Macaca fascicularis: one gene and its partners. The protein of the gene in region 2 interacts with the protein of the main gene of each other region in a biochemical or structural test. Links are inferred from orthologs where the notes say so. Each region holds a gene or a part of one and is shown on either strand. Other genes may lie near its edges.

Evidence for each region.
Region 1: the proteins of DDIT3 (region 2) and FOS form a complex in vitro, tested with the Homo sapiens proteins (2 studies listed by BioGRID and IntAct, with this or other methods). The link is inferred for Macaca fascicularis from reciprocal best matches to the Homo sapiens genes DDIT3 and FOS.
Region 3: the proteins of DDIT3 (region 2) and ATF3 form a complex in vitro, tested with the Homo sapiens proteins (2 studies listed by BioGRID and IntAct, with this or other methods). The link is inferred for Macaca fascicularis from reciprocal best matches to the Homo sapiens genes DDIT3 and ATF3.

What each region holds. Positions count from the first base shown.
Region 1 is NC_088381.1:143,230,318-143,234,522, reverse strand, and holds the start of FOS (protein c-Fos), read right to left. Parts: upstream 2,801-4,205; 5' UTR 2,646-2,800; coding exon 2,505-2,645; intron 1,751-2,504; coding exon 1,499-1,750; intron 1,064-1,498; coding exon 956-1,063; intron 839-955; coding exon 197-838; 3' UTR 1-196. UniProt on the Homo sapiens protein: Nuclear phosphoprotein which forms a tight but non-covalently linked complex with the JUN/AP-1 transcription factor. In the heterodimer, FOS and JUN/AP-1 basic regions each seems to interact with symmetrical DNA half sites.
Region 2 is NC_088385.1:64,327,937-64,331,966, forward strand, and holds the start of DDIT3 (DNA damage-inducible transcript 3 protein), read right to left. Parts: upstream 2,801-4,030; 5' UTR 2,686-2,800; intron 2,615-2,685; exon of another isoform or gene 2,580-2,614; coding exon of another isoform or gene 2,517-2,579; intron 1-2,516. Other genes in the region: DDIT3 upstream open reading frame protein, read right to left, coding at 2,517-2,579. UniProt on the Homo sapiens protein: Multifunctional transcription factor in endoplasmic reticulum (ER) stress response. Plays an essential role in the response to a wide variety of cell stresses and induces cell cycle arrest and apoptosis in response to ER stress.
Region 3 is NC_088375.1:70,370,055-70,374,074, forward strand, and holds the start of ATF3 (cyclic AMP-dependent transcription factor ATF-3), read left to right. Parts: upstream 1-1,220; 5' UTR 1,221-1,297; intron 1,298-4,020.

The DNA of each region.
Region 1 (4,205 bases), on a different chromosome or scaffold from region 2:
GAAGAGGTAAGGACTTGAGTCCACACATGGATGCTTTCAAGTCCTTGAGGCCCACAGCCTGGTGTGTTTCACGCACAGATAAGGTCCTCCCTAGGTCTACAGGAACCCTCTAGGGAAGACGTGTTTCTCCTCTCTGTAATGCACCAGCTCGGGCAGTGGCACTTGTGGGTGCCGGCTGCCTCCCTTCCCTGCCCGCTCACAGGGCCAGCAGCGTGGGTGAGCTGAGCGAGTCAGAGGAGGGCTCATTGCTGCTGCTGCCCTTGCGGTGGGCAGCTGCGCAGCTGGGGAAGGAGTCAGCCTCGGGGTAGGTGAAGACGAAGGAAGACGTGTAAGCAGTGCAGCTGGGAGTACAGGTGACCACCGGAGTGCACAGGGGCTCCAGCTCTGTGGCCATGGGCCCCATCCCCAGGGAGCCACTGTGCAGGGGCTCCCAGTCTGCTGCATAGAAGGACCCAGATAGGTCCATGTCTGGTACAGAGCGGGCTGTCTCAGAGCCGCTGGGCCTGGATGATGCTGGGAACAGGAAGTCATCAAAGGGCTCAGCCTTCAGCTCCATGCTGCTGATGCTCTTGACAGGCTCCACTGAGGGCTTGGGCTCTGGGTCATTGAGGAGAGGCAGGGTGAAGGCCTCCTCAGACTCTGGGGTGGCAGCCTCTGGCAGGCCCCCAGTCAGATCAAGGGAAGCCACAGACATCTCTTCTGGAAAGCCCAGGTCATCAGGGATCTTGCAGGCAGGTCGGTGAGCTGCCAGGATGAATTCTAGTTTTTCCTTCTCCTTCAGCAGGTTGGCAATCTCGGTCTGCAAAGCAGACTTCTCATCTTCTAGTTGGTCTGTCTCCTGTATACAGAGGGAGAAAGGAAAGCATAAGAAACAGTCTTACTCAAGGGCCCTTATGCTCAATCTCCAACTTTCCCCTTAAGTTTTAAAAAGGAGCAACCCGCAGAGTCTACCTACCGCTTGGAGTGTATCAGTCAGCTCCCTCCTCCGGTTGCGGCATTTGGCTGCAGCCATCTTATTCCTTTCCCTTCGGATTCTCCTTTTCTCTTCTTCTTCTGGAGATAACTAGGATAATCACAAAAAAAAAAAGACCGACATTCAGTAAAAGTGTCTGCCATCACCTCCATTCACCCACCCCAGTAGAACTGGCTCCTGCAGCTTCCCTACTTCCTGGCATCCCACTGTGAAACCATTTCTAACCTGCAGTTGCAGACTAGGTGTGACTTGCATTTAAAATAAGATCCTCAGCAAGAGAACAAAGAAGAGCCCAGTCTAAAAGCATGCGGTAGGAAACTTAGGGAAGAAACTATGAGAGTACTTCTTAGGGTGAGACTCAGAGTCTGAGTTGGGATGGAATGGGCTTGGAGCCAGGGTTCCCAGTTAGGGATGTGCAGCCAGCCCCGTCAGGGGCTTAATCCTCTCTGCTGTGCTCCTCCACCTCCAGGGCCGCTTCCCACCCAGCCCCCACCTTCCCAGGAAGGGTAGGCTAGAGTTCCTCACCTGTTCCACCTTACCCCTCCTGCCAGTGCTCTGCGCTCGGCTTCCTGTCATGGTCTTCACAATGCCAGCCCTGGAGTAAGCCCCAGCGGAGGGAGTGGGGACTCCGAAGGGGTGAGGGGCTCTGGTCTGCGATGGGGCCACAGAGGAGACGAGGGCCGGCTGCACAAGCCACTGCAGGTCCGGACTGGTCGAGATGGCAGTGACCGTGGGAATGAAGTTGGCACTGGAGACGGCCAGGTCCGTGCAGAAGTCCTAGAACAAAACAGAAGGGGAAAGCCGACGTGAGCGAGCAGATTCCGGACACAGGTGGGGCGAGTTGCCGGTGCCGCATGCAGTAGCGAAGAGAAACGATCCTGCCACGGACGTTTCATCTTAAATGTCCCTCATCCTGGATGAAAGGTCTCCCCCTTTTCCTCCCAGGCATTCCGCAGCGCAGTGTCTGTCTCTTCCATCCTGCCGCTGCGTTCCCGTTATCCCTTCAGCATCACTCGCTTGAAAGGGGGTTTGTTATAAATATCCCTGACGTCTGCGCTGACGCAGGCGCCGCTCCGGAGTCTCCAGAATGAACTCGCTTTTTATCAATGAAACTGCCTTACACACCCGCCCGCTGCACCCTCCTCCCTCACCCCTCCTCCCTGCTCCAGGCTGCCGGGGGAGGGGGGATTGCCGCTTTCTGCCACCTCCCCAGAGAAGCCAGGCTCTAGTTAGCGAGTCTGTGCTTGGGAGACGTCTGCCCCAGCTAATGTCAGAGATCCGTCCTGGAGTGCAAACCAGACGTTGCTCAGAACGAACCTGCCTCCGGAAGGGGGAACAAATTCTTACTATGGCAAGCTTGCGTGCGCTCAGAGCCAAGTCCCGAGCCCCCGAGCCGGCACCGCTCCGGCCACTGCAGCCTCCCTCCAGGCACAAGGGAGCCCCCTACTCATCTCCTGGAGCGTCCCGCCCGGTGTCTCCTCCTCAGCGACCCCAAGCCCCCGGCCCCGCGGCGGTGGGAAGCCAGCCTTACCTGCGCGTTGACAGGCGAGCCCATGCTGGAGAAGGAATCGGCGGGTGAGTGGTAGTAGGAGAGGCTATCCCCGGCCGGGGACGCGCTGCTGCAGCGCGAGGATGACGCCTCGTAGTCTGCGTTGAAGCCCGAGAACATCATCGTGGCTGTTAGGCAAAGCCGGGCGTGGGGCCGAGGGGCGGAGACAGGTGGGCGCTGTGGAGCAGAGCTAGGTAAGAGCGCGGTCACTGCTCGTTCGCTGCGCCGCGGCCGCCGGCTCAGTCTCGGCTTCTCGGCTGCTCGCTGCAGATGCGGTTGGAGTACGAGGCGCCGCAGCCACTGCTTTTATAACAAGCGTTTTATGAATGAGTGTAAACGTCACGGGCTCAACCACGGTGGCGCCAGAGGGGTGGCGCGCGGGCCTGAGCGCCTCTGCCGCCGCGTGGCTGCCTCCCCAGCGCTCGCAGCTCCCTGCCTGTGCCTTGGCGCGTGTCCTAATCTCGTGAGCATTTCGCAGTTCCTGTCTCAGGGGTCTCGTGGGACCCCCAAGATGAGGGGCTTCGGGGATGGCTCCCCCCAGGGCTACAGGGAAAGGCCGTGGAAACCTGCTGACGCAGATGTCCTAATATGGACATCCTGTGTAAGGGGGAGGGATTGACGGGAACTGCTCGCGGGCTGCAGCCAACAACGAGGGTGCAGCGCGGGGGGAGGCGGGGGCCGCGGCCGGGGGAGGGGAGGCGGGAACGGCGCAGAATGCTAGAGAACATTCGCACCTGGTTCAATGCGGACCCTTGTTCCCGAGGTCGGGGGGGATGGGGCAGAGAGCGCCTCTTTACCCTTGTACGGAAACTGAAGACAGTTCTGAGGCTCAGGAATAGGAGAAACGGCCTCGGGTACACGGCCCCGAGGACTTAAGCCTCGGCTCCCGAAGGAATGCGTCCCTACCCCCATCCCCAATTCTAGCCCTAATTCAGTGCAAAACGAGGAAGCAGACCCTCACCCCTCTCCTCCCGGGCTCGAGCAATGCTAGCACTGTTCCTGCGTTTGGAAGCAGAAAGTGGATCCAAAATAACAGAATACGATAACCTACTTTACGATACTGGGTACTTTATTTATTTACTTATTTTTTCTTTAAGGAAGACAGCGCATTTATTTATTTATTTTTCTCGGCCATGTGTGGGAATATTAAGGAAACTGTCAAATCCCTGAGACACCAGCAGATAAACACTGTGCGACACCTACGTGCGAAGACATTTGAAGGGGGTGTCTGCCCGGTTCTGAGCTGGGCCCCGGGGGTAGGGAGTGCGGGGTGTGGTTATGTGGGCAGGGTGGTCAGTTCGGGATGACAAGGCGGGGTGTGCTTCCTGCGGGGAACTAAAATCTGAGCTGGGGGGCTGGTTCGGTCCCGCCAGGAAGCTGTGCTTACGGGAGCCCGCAGCGGGTGATTTTCCAGCGCGGACTTGGAGAGGGGAGGACAGGGGCTGGAAGGACAGTGTCCAGCAGCGCCCAGGCGGAATACCTCCACCGCTGGGACCCCAGGCGCGGCTCCACGTCCTGGAACACCGGGCTTTGGGGAGGCAAGGTGCTCCAGAGTGTGCCACGCCCCCCAGCCTCCTGCCCTGCTGCGTAGGACAGCCGGGGTCACGCTGCCCGGGCTCAGCCCCAGCGCGCCGGCCACCTCCAGGGTGCGAAGACGCATGTCCCCGCACAGCCCCGGTCTCC
Region 2 (4,030 bases):
CAACCTCTGCCTCCAGGGTCAAGCGATTCTTCTGCCTCAACCTCCCAAGTAGCTGGGACTACAGGTGCATACCACCGTGCCCAGCTAATTTTTGTGTTTTTAGTAGAGATGGGGTTTCACTGTGTTGGCCAGGATGGTCTCCATCTCTTGACCTTGTGATCTACTCGCCTCCCAAAGTGCTGGGATTATAGGCGTGAACCACCATGCTGGGCCCTTATTTTTCTTTTATCTCCAGCCTCCTACTGGTCCGTCCTTACTTCTGGTCTTGTGGGGTATGCATACTTGGTCCCTGTAGCCATTTCCAAGGGCAGAAGAGGGCCTGACTTTATTTTTAGTTGCTGACATTTGTAGTCCTGGTTACATAATAGCAAAGTTCTGGCCAACTCAGCTTTCTCTAAATTCAAGGCAGGCCTTAAACCTGCCAGGGTAAAGACTAAACTATAGGGAAGGGAACAAATCGTAGCATTTTCCTAACTCCATTCCCACACTGACATCCTGTAGCATTTTCCTAACTCCATTCCCACACTGACATCCTCCAAATGTGTATTTCCAGTCTGGACCTCTTCCAGAACTTCCGACTCTGCTGTCTACTGCCTACTTGCCATTTCTTTTTCAATGTCTAATAGGTACCTAAGACTATGTGCAAACTTGTTGATTTTCCCCTTCCAAGGTCATCCCCATCTCAGATGACAACTCTAGTTGCTTAAGCTAAAAACCTTGGTATCATCCTTCATTCCTCTCACACCCTGCAATCCAAAGTACTAGCAAATTTTAACTTTTTTTTTTTTTTTTTTTGAGACGGGTCTCCCTCTTTTTGCCCAGGCTAGAGGGCAGTGGCACAATCTCCGCTCTGCAACCTTTGCCTCCTGGGTTCAAGCGATTCTCCTGCCTCAGCCTCCTGAGTAGCTGGGATTACAGGCATGCACTACCATGCCTGGCTGATTTTTGTATTTTTAGTAAAGATGGGGTTTCACGTTGGCCAGGCTGGTCTTGAACTCCTGACTTCGTGTGATCCACTCCTCTGGTCTCCTAAAGTGCTGGGATTACAGGCATGAGCCACCATGCCCGGCCCTTAACTCATTCTTTAAAAATGAGTTTTTAAAACTTTGCTTAGAAGAATTTAAACACCTCTAATTCCATTCTTTCCAATCTAGATCAATTCACCACCATCTCTCAATTACTGCAGAAACTTCCTGATTGCAGAAGGTCTTCCCATTTCTTCTCTTGCCACCCCTCCGTAAGTCTATTCACCATACAGCAGCCTGAGTGAACCTTTTAAAACAGGTCATTCCTCTGCTCAAAACTCTCCAGTGACTTCCTATGTCATGTCAGGGAAGTCATTGGAGGGTTTTGAGAGGAGGAATTACCTAAGGTAATTCCTGACCACCTGATGTAACACAGTAACCTCCATCCTGAACATTCTCCATTCCTTTCTCTGCTTTAGCTTTCTCCATGGCACTTATATTTTGTTTACTGTAGGCCTCCCACTGAGATGATTTTTTCCTCTTGCTCACGGATGTTCCCTGAGCCCCAAACTGTTTGGCACACAGTAGGTCCTCATTAAGTATTTGTTAAGAATGAATGAATTCTCCCCAATCTCTCTTATAGGGAAGGGGCAGACGCAGAGTGGCAGCTGCCGATCCCTAGGGACTGGAGATGCAATATTGCCCGAAATATTTCTCTGCAGGGCTGTCTTCCCTGGGGAACCCTCCCTTGCCTTCCAGTGCGTGGGACTTGGCTTTCATCAGCAGTGGAGCCTCAGGTCAGAAGGCTGCAGAGCCAAACGGGGCTGGCCTGATGCAATGGTTACACAGAGATTAGCTGGGAGACAGGACCGGGTTAAAGAGGCAGGGACTAATCCCGAGGGAAGGACGATACCCTGGGGAGACCCCAAATGGCCTCCTACACTTAAGAGATCCAGGCTGCTCTCTTGTGCGGGAGGCCCAGAGACCTCTACGGCAAAGGGAAAACACACCGCTCCCTGTCCATCGGCACCCCTCCCAAAGGCTTGTGTCAAGGTTCCCCTTTCAGCCCTGCAGGGTCCAGTAGCCCCAGCTACCGAGGTGGCCATGCTGACACCAGAGACGCTGAGACTGAGACAGGATTGGGGGTAGGGTAGGGAGAAGGCCGATGGTGGCGAACGGGCGGAAACGGTTTGAGCGATGGTAACTCAGTCTTAGAGCGGGGGTGTGTCCTGCTGCCTCCCCGCGGACAGGCCTAACGAGGTGGCCTGAAGTTGGCTACGGGAGAGAATGAATTTCCCTAGGGCAGCCGAGGTCCCTTTGCCCAGCAGCACAGAGCAGGGCCCATGCTCCGGCTCCGGGCAGGGGTGGAGAGACGCTGTCGTCCGAAGCAATGGGGGTTTGTAAGCACCACCCCAGAATAAGGGACTCTCCCCATTCCTCTCTCGGACGGTCCCTGACTTCACTGTGGAGGCGTGAGGCCAATCCTAAAGAGCGGATGCCCCAACTCTGAGGAGACGGGAGGGCAAAGGGCAGATGGGAGTCAGTACTCGCCTCTCTCCTCAGGTTCCAGCTCTGATTTTGGCTCTGTCGCTGCCACCCGCTCATCTTCAACATGATACGCTCAGTGCCTTAGACTTAAGCCTCTGACCTCGGGAGCGCCTAGCTGTAATCTTTTACCATGGCCTTGCCCTCCTCTCAGGGGCGGGACCCCAAAACCTACCAATCAGAAAGTGGCACGCCGGCATTGGCCCCGCCTCGTCCCTCGTATCCGCCACTCAGGAGCTCCGCAGAACCGCCCCCGTCGCTCCCTCTCGCTAGGGGGTCGACGTAGTGTCGGACCCGGAAGTGGCTTTGGGTCACGAGGCTTCACGGAGGCGGTGGGTGAGTCATGCGCGCGCGCGGAGGGGAGTGTAGCGGGGGGAGGGGAGGAAAGGGGGGCGGGGATGATGCAATGTTTGGCAACTGGTGTCTGCACGCGCACGCGCAGGGGACTACGAGGGTGGTGGGAGGTGCAGAGGGTGGGGGAAAGGAGAGAGGGCGGGGCGCCAGCTCCCGGCGCCCAACGGCCCCAACGGCTATCAGCGTTGGCCGTCCGTAGTCGGTCGTGTGGAGCCTCTTTGCCGCTTGTCTCCCCCAGAAGCTGCTGTTCCGCCCACCGAGCTTTAGCCGGCGTTTTACCTCCACTATAAGGGACTCCCATTTTCCTTGGCCCCTCCCAGCTAATGGTCATATAGGCCTTTTGAACTTTTCCTTTGAAAGTTGGTATCCATCCACTGGGATTGTCGACATCTCGAGAGTCTTAGAGAGGTCTCCGGGCTCGGTGACTCATGCCTATAATCCCAGCACTTTGGGAGGCTGAGGAGAGCGGATCACTTCAGGTCAGGAGTTCCAGATCAGCCTGACCAACATGGTGAAACCCCGTCTCTACTAAAAATACAAAAATTAGCCGGGTGTGGTGATGCGCGCCTGTAATCCCAGCTACTCTGGAGGCTGAGGCAGGAGAATCGCTTGAACCCTGGTGGCGTATGTTGCAGTGACCGAGATCGCGCCACTGCACTCCAGCCTGGGTGACAGAGCGAGACTACGTTTCACCGAAAACGAAAAACAAATAAAAAAAACCGGGGTCGTCTAGCCCCGTAAATCTCCCAAAAGGGGCCGAGGTACTGGAATCCCTTGGTAGTCATTTTCCGCTTCTCTCACAACAGCGCCCTTGACTTTTACCTTGGAGTTGCTAAGCCCTCAGCCTGCCAGAAGTCATGTATTTTACCCAGTGGACCCAATTCTGTTTGGCCACCTATTTTCCCCCACTATACTCTTACGGCTTTCTCCAATACCAAGACCCTCTCTTGCTGTACCAGACAGCAAGTCCTGTGACTCCCTGCTGTGAGGAGCGCGGCACAGGCCTGCCTCCTAGGTGTTCGGGTCGAGATTTACAGCGGAGTCTCATCCTGGGACGTGTAAGTGCACTTCAGCGCAGGACCGCCGTGGACTGGGGAGACCGGGGCCGCGATTTTAGCCTCAACTCCCCCTCACTTACCAAGGGATCTTACCGTCCTTGTTTGTAA
Region 3 (4,020 bases), on a different chromosome or scaffold from region 2:
GTGTGGTAGGCTACACTACCTAGGTTTGTGTAAGTACACTCTATGATGTTGGCACAACAATGAAATCACCTAACGATACATTTCTGAGAACATATTCTTGTTGTTAAGTGATGAATGACTGTATATGACATTCTGGAAAAGGCAAAACTATGGAAACTAAAAAGATCAGTGGTTACCAGGGGTTGAGGAGTGGGGATGATGAACAGGTGGAGCACAGAGGGTTTTTGGGGCAGTGAAACTATTCTGTAGGATACAATAATGGTAGATTCTTGTGTTTAAAAATCTGCCCTAACCCATAGAATGTACAACACCAAGAGTGAACCCCAGCGTAAACTATGGATTTCATGTATGAATAATTTGTTAATTAGGTTAATTGATTGTGACAAACGTACCAGCTGGTGGGGGATATTGATAAAGGAAGTGGCTATACAAGTGTGGGAAGAGGAAGTCTGTGGGAAATTGAGTACTTTCCGCTTAATTTTGCTGTCAATCTAAAACTGTTCTACACAATAAAGTTGATGTTTAAGAAAGCCAAGTGAGGTGCTAACACCTTTCTGTAGAGTTCATTCCACTGTAGCGTTACACAGATTTGGGCTGGAATCTGAGCCAAGCCCTGTAACCTGGGGGAAGTTACTTACCCCTCTAATCTTAGTTTCTCTAACTTTACAGAGATTGTAATGCCTTCCTCAGAGTGTTTTGAGAGCTAAATGCAAAACTGTATGTAAAGAATCTAATCCAGCACCTGGATATATAGCATGGTAAATATATACAGGCCTCCTCATTCCTCCCTATGACTGTGATTCTTATCTATTCTGATGGCTACTATTTTCAAAGTCAGGCCAGGGCAAGAAAGCTGTTTTGGGTGAAAGTGTCTTCTACTAGAAAATAATCTGTGCATGAGGGGCCTGTGTGTCCTCATTTGCTCATGTGTGTCCCCAGAGGTGCTGGCTACAGAAGGCCAGACATGCACTGGAGCCCCGGATCAGTGTCAAGCCCCTCACTCAGCTTTCTCCCGTGAAAAGGTCAGGATGATGGAAGGCTGTCATATTTAGATGATGGCTCGCAGGGAAGCCTTGGTGGGTTAGTCACCTATGATATGACATCATATTGCCACTCAATATAGTAACAGCTGTTGGTTGCTTTGGGGGGCAGAGGTGGGGTTAGCTTTAGTTGACCAACCATGCCTTGAGGATAAATTGGATGGGATCAGATGGGAAGATGTGACAAGAAGAGAAATCCTCCTCTATATAGGATGCTCTGCCATTTCCTAAGGATTTTCAGCACCTCGCCCCAAAATGTGAGTCTTGACTTTTTCTCTGGCTTTGGGGCTAAGTGGGAAAAATGTTACAGGAGAAAGGTGTTTGGTCAGGAAGCCTCCAGCTGGGGGAGTACCCATTGTGGCCCTGCTGGGTGGGTGACACCCGGAAGAGGGGTGGGAAAGTGAGCAGTTCGGTGCATATGGCACTCAGTGAAGTGATCTGAGGGATAGGGATCAAAAAGTCCAGGAGTTAGAGTGCTGCAGAAGCTCTAGGTTGGATTAAGGTTTTTACTGACCCCTCTTCAGGTTACATAACACCTGCGGGATGACCTGTGGCATCCCAGTGAGGCAGTGATGTGGTCTCGGTCTCATCCTGGATGAAACCGTGATTTGGGGATACCATTAGTCAGTGCTGTAGTCGATGTAAGGCATTGATTATTCATAATAGGAAGCAATTGGAGTTGGTTAACACCTTCCTTCTAGTGTGTTCTCCTTCTTGACTTTCCTACCTCTTCTGGGGCCCTTGTGTTTTGGGAATAGAATGCTTTGTATCAGCAGTGTAACATGGATAGGTTAACTGGATATAGGCTGGGTATGGGGAGAGCTGGTTCTTCCTGTGCTTAAACGGAATAAGTCCAGAGTGAGGGAGTAAAGATGTTAGAGAGGAAAAGCCCTGGAATGAGGGTCAAGAGATCTTGTTTGGCAGCTAGTTCTGCCAAGTAAAAGCTGTGTGACCTTGGGCAAGTCACTGTTTCTCTTTGGATTTTGGTTATTCCTCTCATCTGTAAAAACGTGTGCACTTGGGGTTCTTCCAGCCCCACTGGTCCTCTTCCATCCTTTAAATGTGGATCTGTGGTTCTGTTGTTGGCAGCCCAGAAAGGGCACAAGTTTGAGTATCTGGCTCTGCCATTTGTTGTGCGACCGTGGACAAAGACACCCCTTCTCTGAAACTCAATTTTCCCATTTATAAAATATGGATTTTTGTGAGACATCAGTGAGGTAAGGAAGCTGAGAGCCTTTTCGGAGGCACGATGTGGATGTAAAGCAACACCCTGAGTTTGGACAGGGCAGGTGGAGTAAGGCAGGCTGAGGGGTGATGTTTGGGGTTACTGGCAGGTTGAACTGTGACCAGGGGCATAGATGGGGTGGAGGTCATGGTCAGCCAGGCCATAGAAACCCCTAGCCCTGTCCTACTCAGTTCTTGTTCCTTCCCCAGCAGCCGAGGGAGGGAAAATAGTTGAGAGGTTATAAATGACGCTGAAAACAGCTCACAGAAGTGGCTGCAAACTGTCTGAGGGGGTCATGCCGCCGGAGCAAAGCGTGTGCTGGGAAGCCATCCAGGGTTTGGGGACCCCTGAAAACTGAGCAACCTCCTGGTTCCTATTGGTGCCCAAGAGGATGCACCGTCTGCACTGCCTGGCATCACTTCCTGGGAAAGTGAAAACTCCTCGTATGGCGACTAATGGATCACGACTGAACAGTGACCAGAGTGACTTGTCTTGAACCGTCTCTGAGGGAAAGTCACAGATTCCCTAGAGAAAATTTCCAAATTCCTGTTTATTCTTCACATAAACAGATTAACCTAGGGGTAGCGATTTTACTTAACTCTTCCTTTCATGTTGCAGGGAAAGTGAAATTGGCCACTTCTTTGAAGCTGTTCTTTGAGCCATAAATATAATTTCTCTTCCCACCCACAGAAAGGGGTTTTCTTTTTCTTTCTTTCCTTCTTTTCTCTTTCTTTCTTTCTTTTTTTTTTTTTTTTGAAGCCCCAGGCTCTGATACGTTCGGAGGTTGGCAGGAGGTGCAGCTGCCGTAGGAGCAGCATGTTGTCCCCCTGCTGACTCATCTGACATTAACATAATTATGTTTCAGGAGTCAAAGTGATTTTCAAACTATGAGTAATGCAGGGTGTTAGAGAGAGTGTTTACACGGCAGTGGGCATTTCAGCACACTCAAGTAACCAGCTGCTGCTAACAGCTGCAATGAGTGAAGGAATAAGAAAATGCTCTCAGGAAAAACAACCCTTCTGTCTCGTGTCTGTTTCTGTGCAAAGGATTCAGATGTCATGAAAGGCAGGTGAACTTAGAGTTCCCTAAGAACCAATTCAGATCTAGCATTGTTATCTGAATGCCTTGATGTCTGATCTTTTTATGGGGAAAAAAATGTCTTTATAGCTTATTTTCCATTTACCCAACTCTAGGGAAAGGTGGATTTAAAGACTTTAGCAAATTATTTATTTTTTATGATGTTACCAGTATTAATAATTATAATAATATTCTAAGGCTGTGCTGCTGCTTCTAAAACAGGAACAAGGACAAAACCCATTTCCCCCAGTTTTAAAGACAGGGGCAGAAGCCCATGGAGAGGGGGACTGGGGAATGTCTTCTTAAAGCTCCTTTGTCTCATTATTATGGGAAAAGTTCTGAGAGACATGGAGTGCAGTGTGCCAAGTATTTAGACCTCAGGAGCGAAAAGCTGGGCTCCAGTCCTGTTCCAGAACTGAATATTGGAATGGGAATGCCTCAATTTCCTCATCTCATAGTGAGAATATTAATAACACTTTCTCTGCCTACATCAGAAAAAGAGCCTTGAACTTTTGTAGGGTAGGGACAGGGTCTGCCCACTACTGTAGCCCCAGTGTCTAACTTAGAGCTGTCACATAGAAGGTGCTCAGTAAGTATTTGCAGAATTAACGAATGAGATAAAAGCTATAAATGCCAGAGCTCTGCTCTTGTGGTTTGCTATTGCATCTAGCAAGGTGT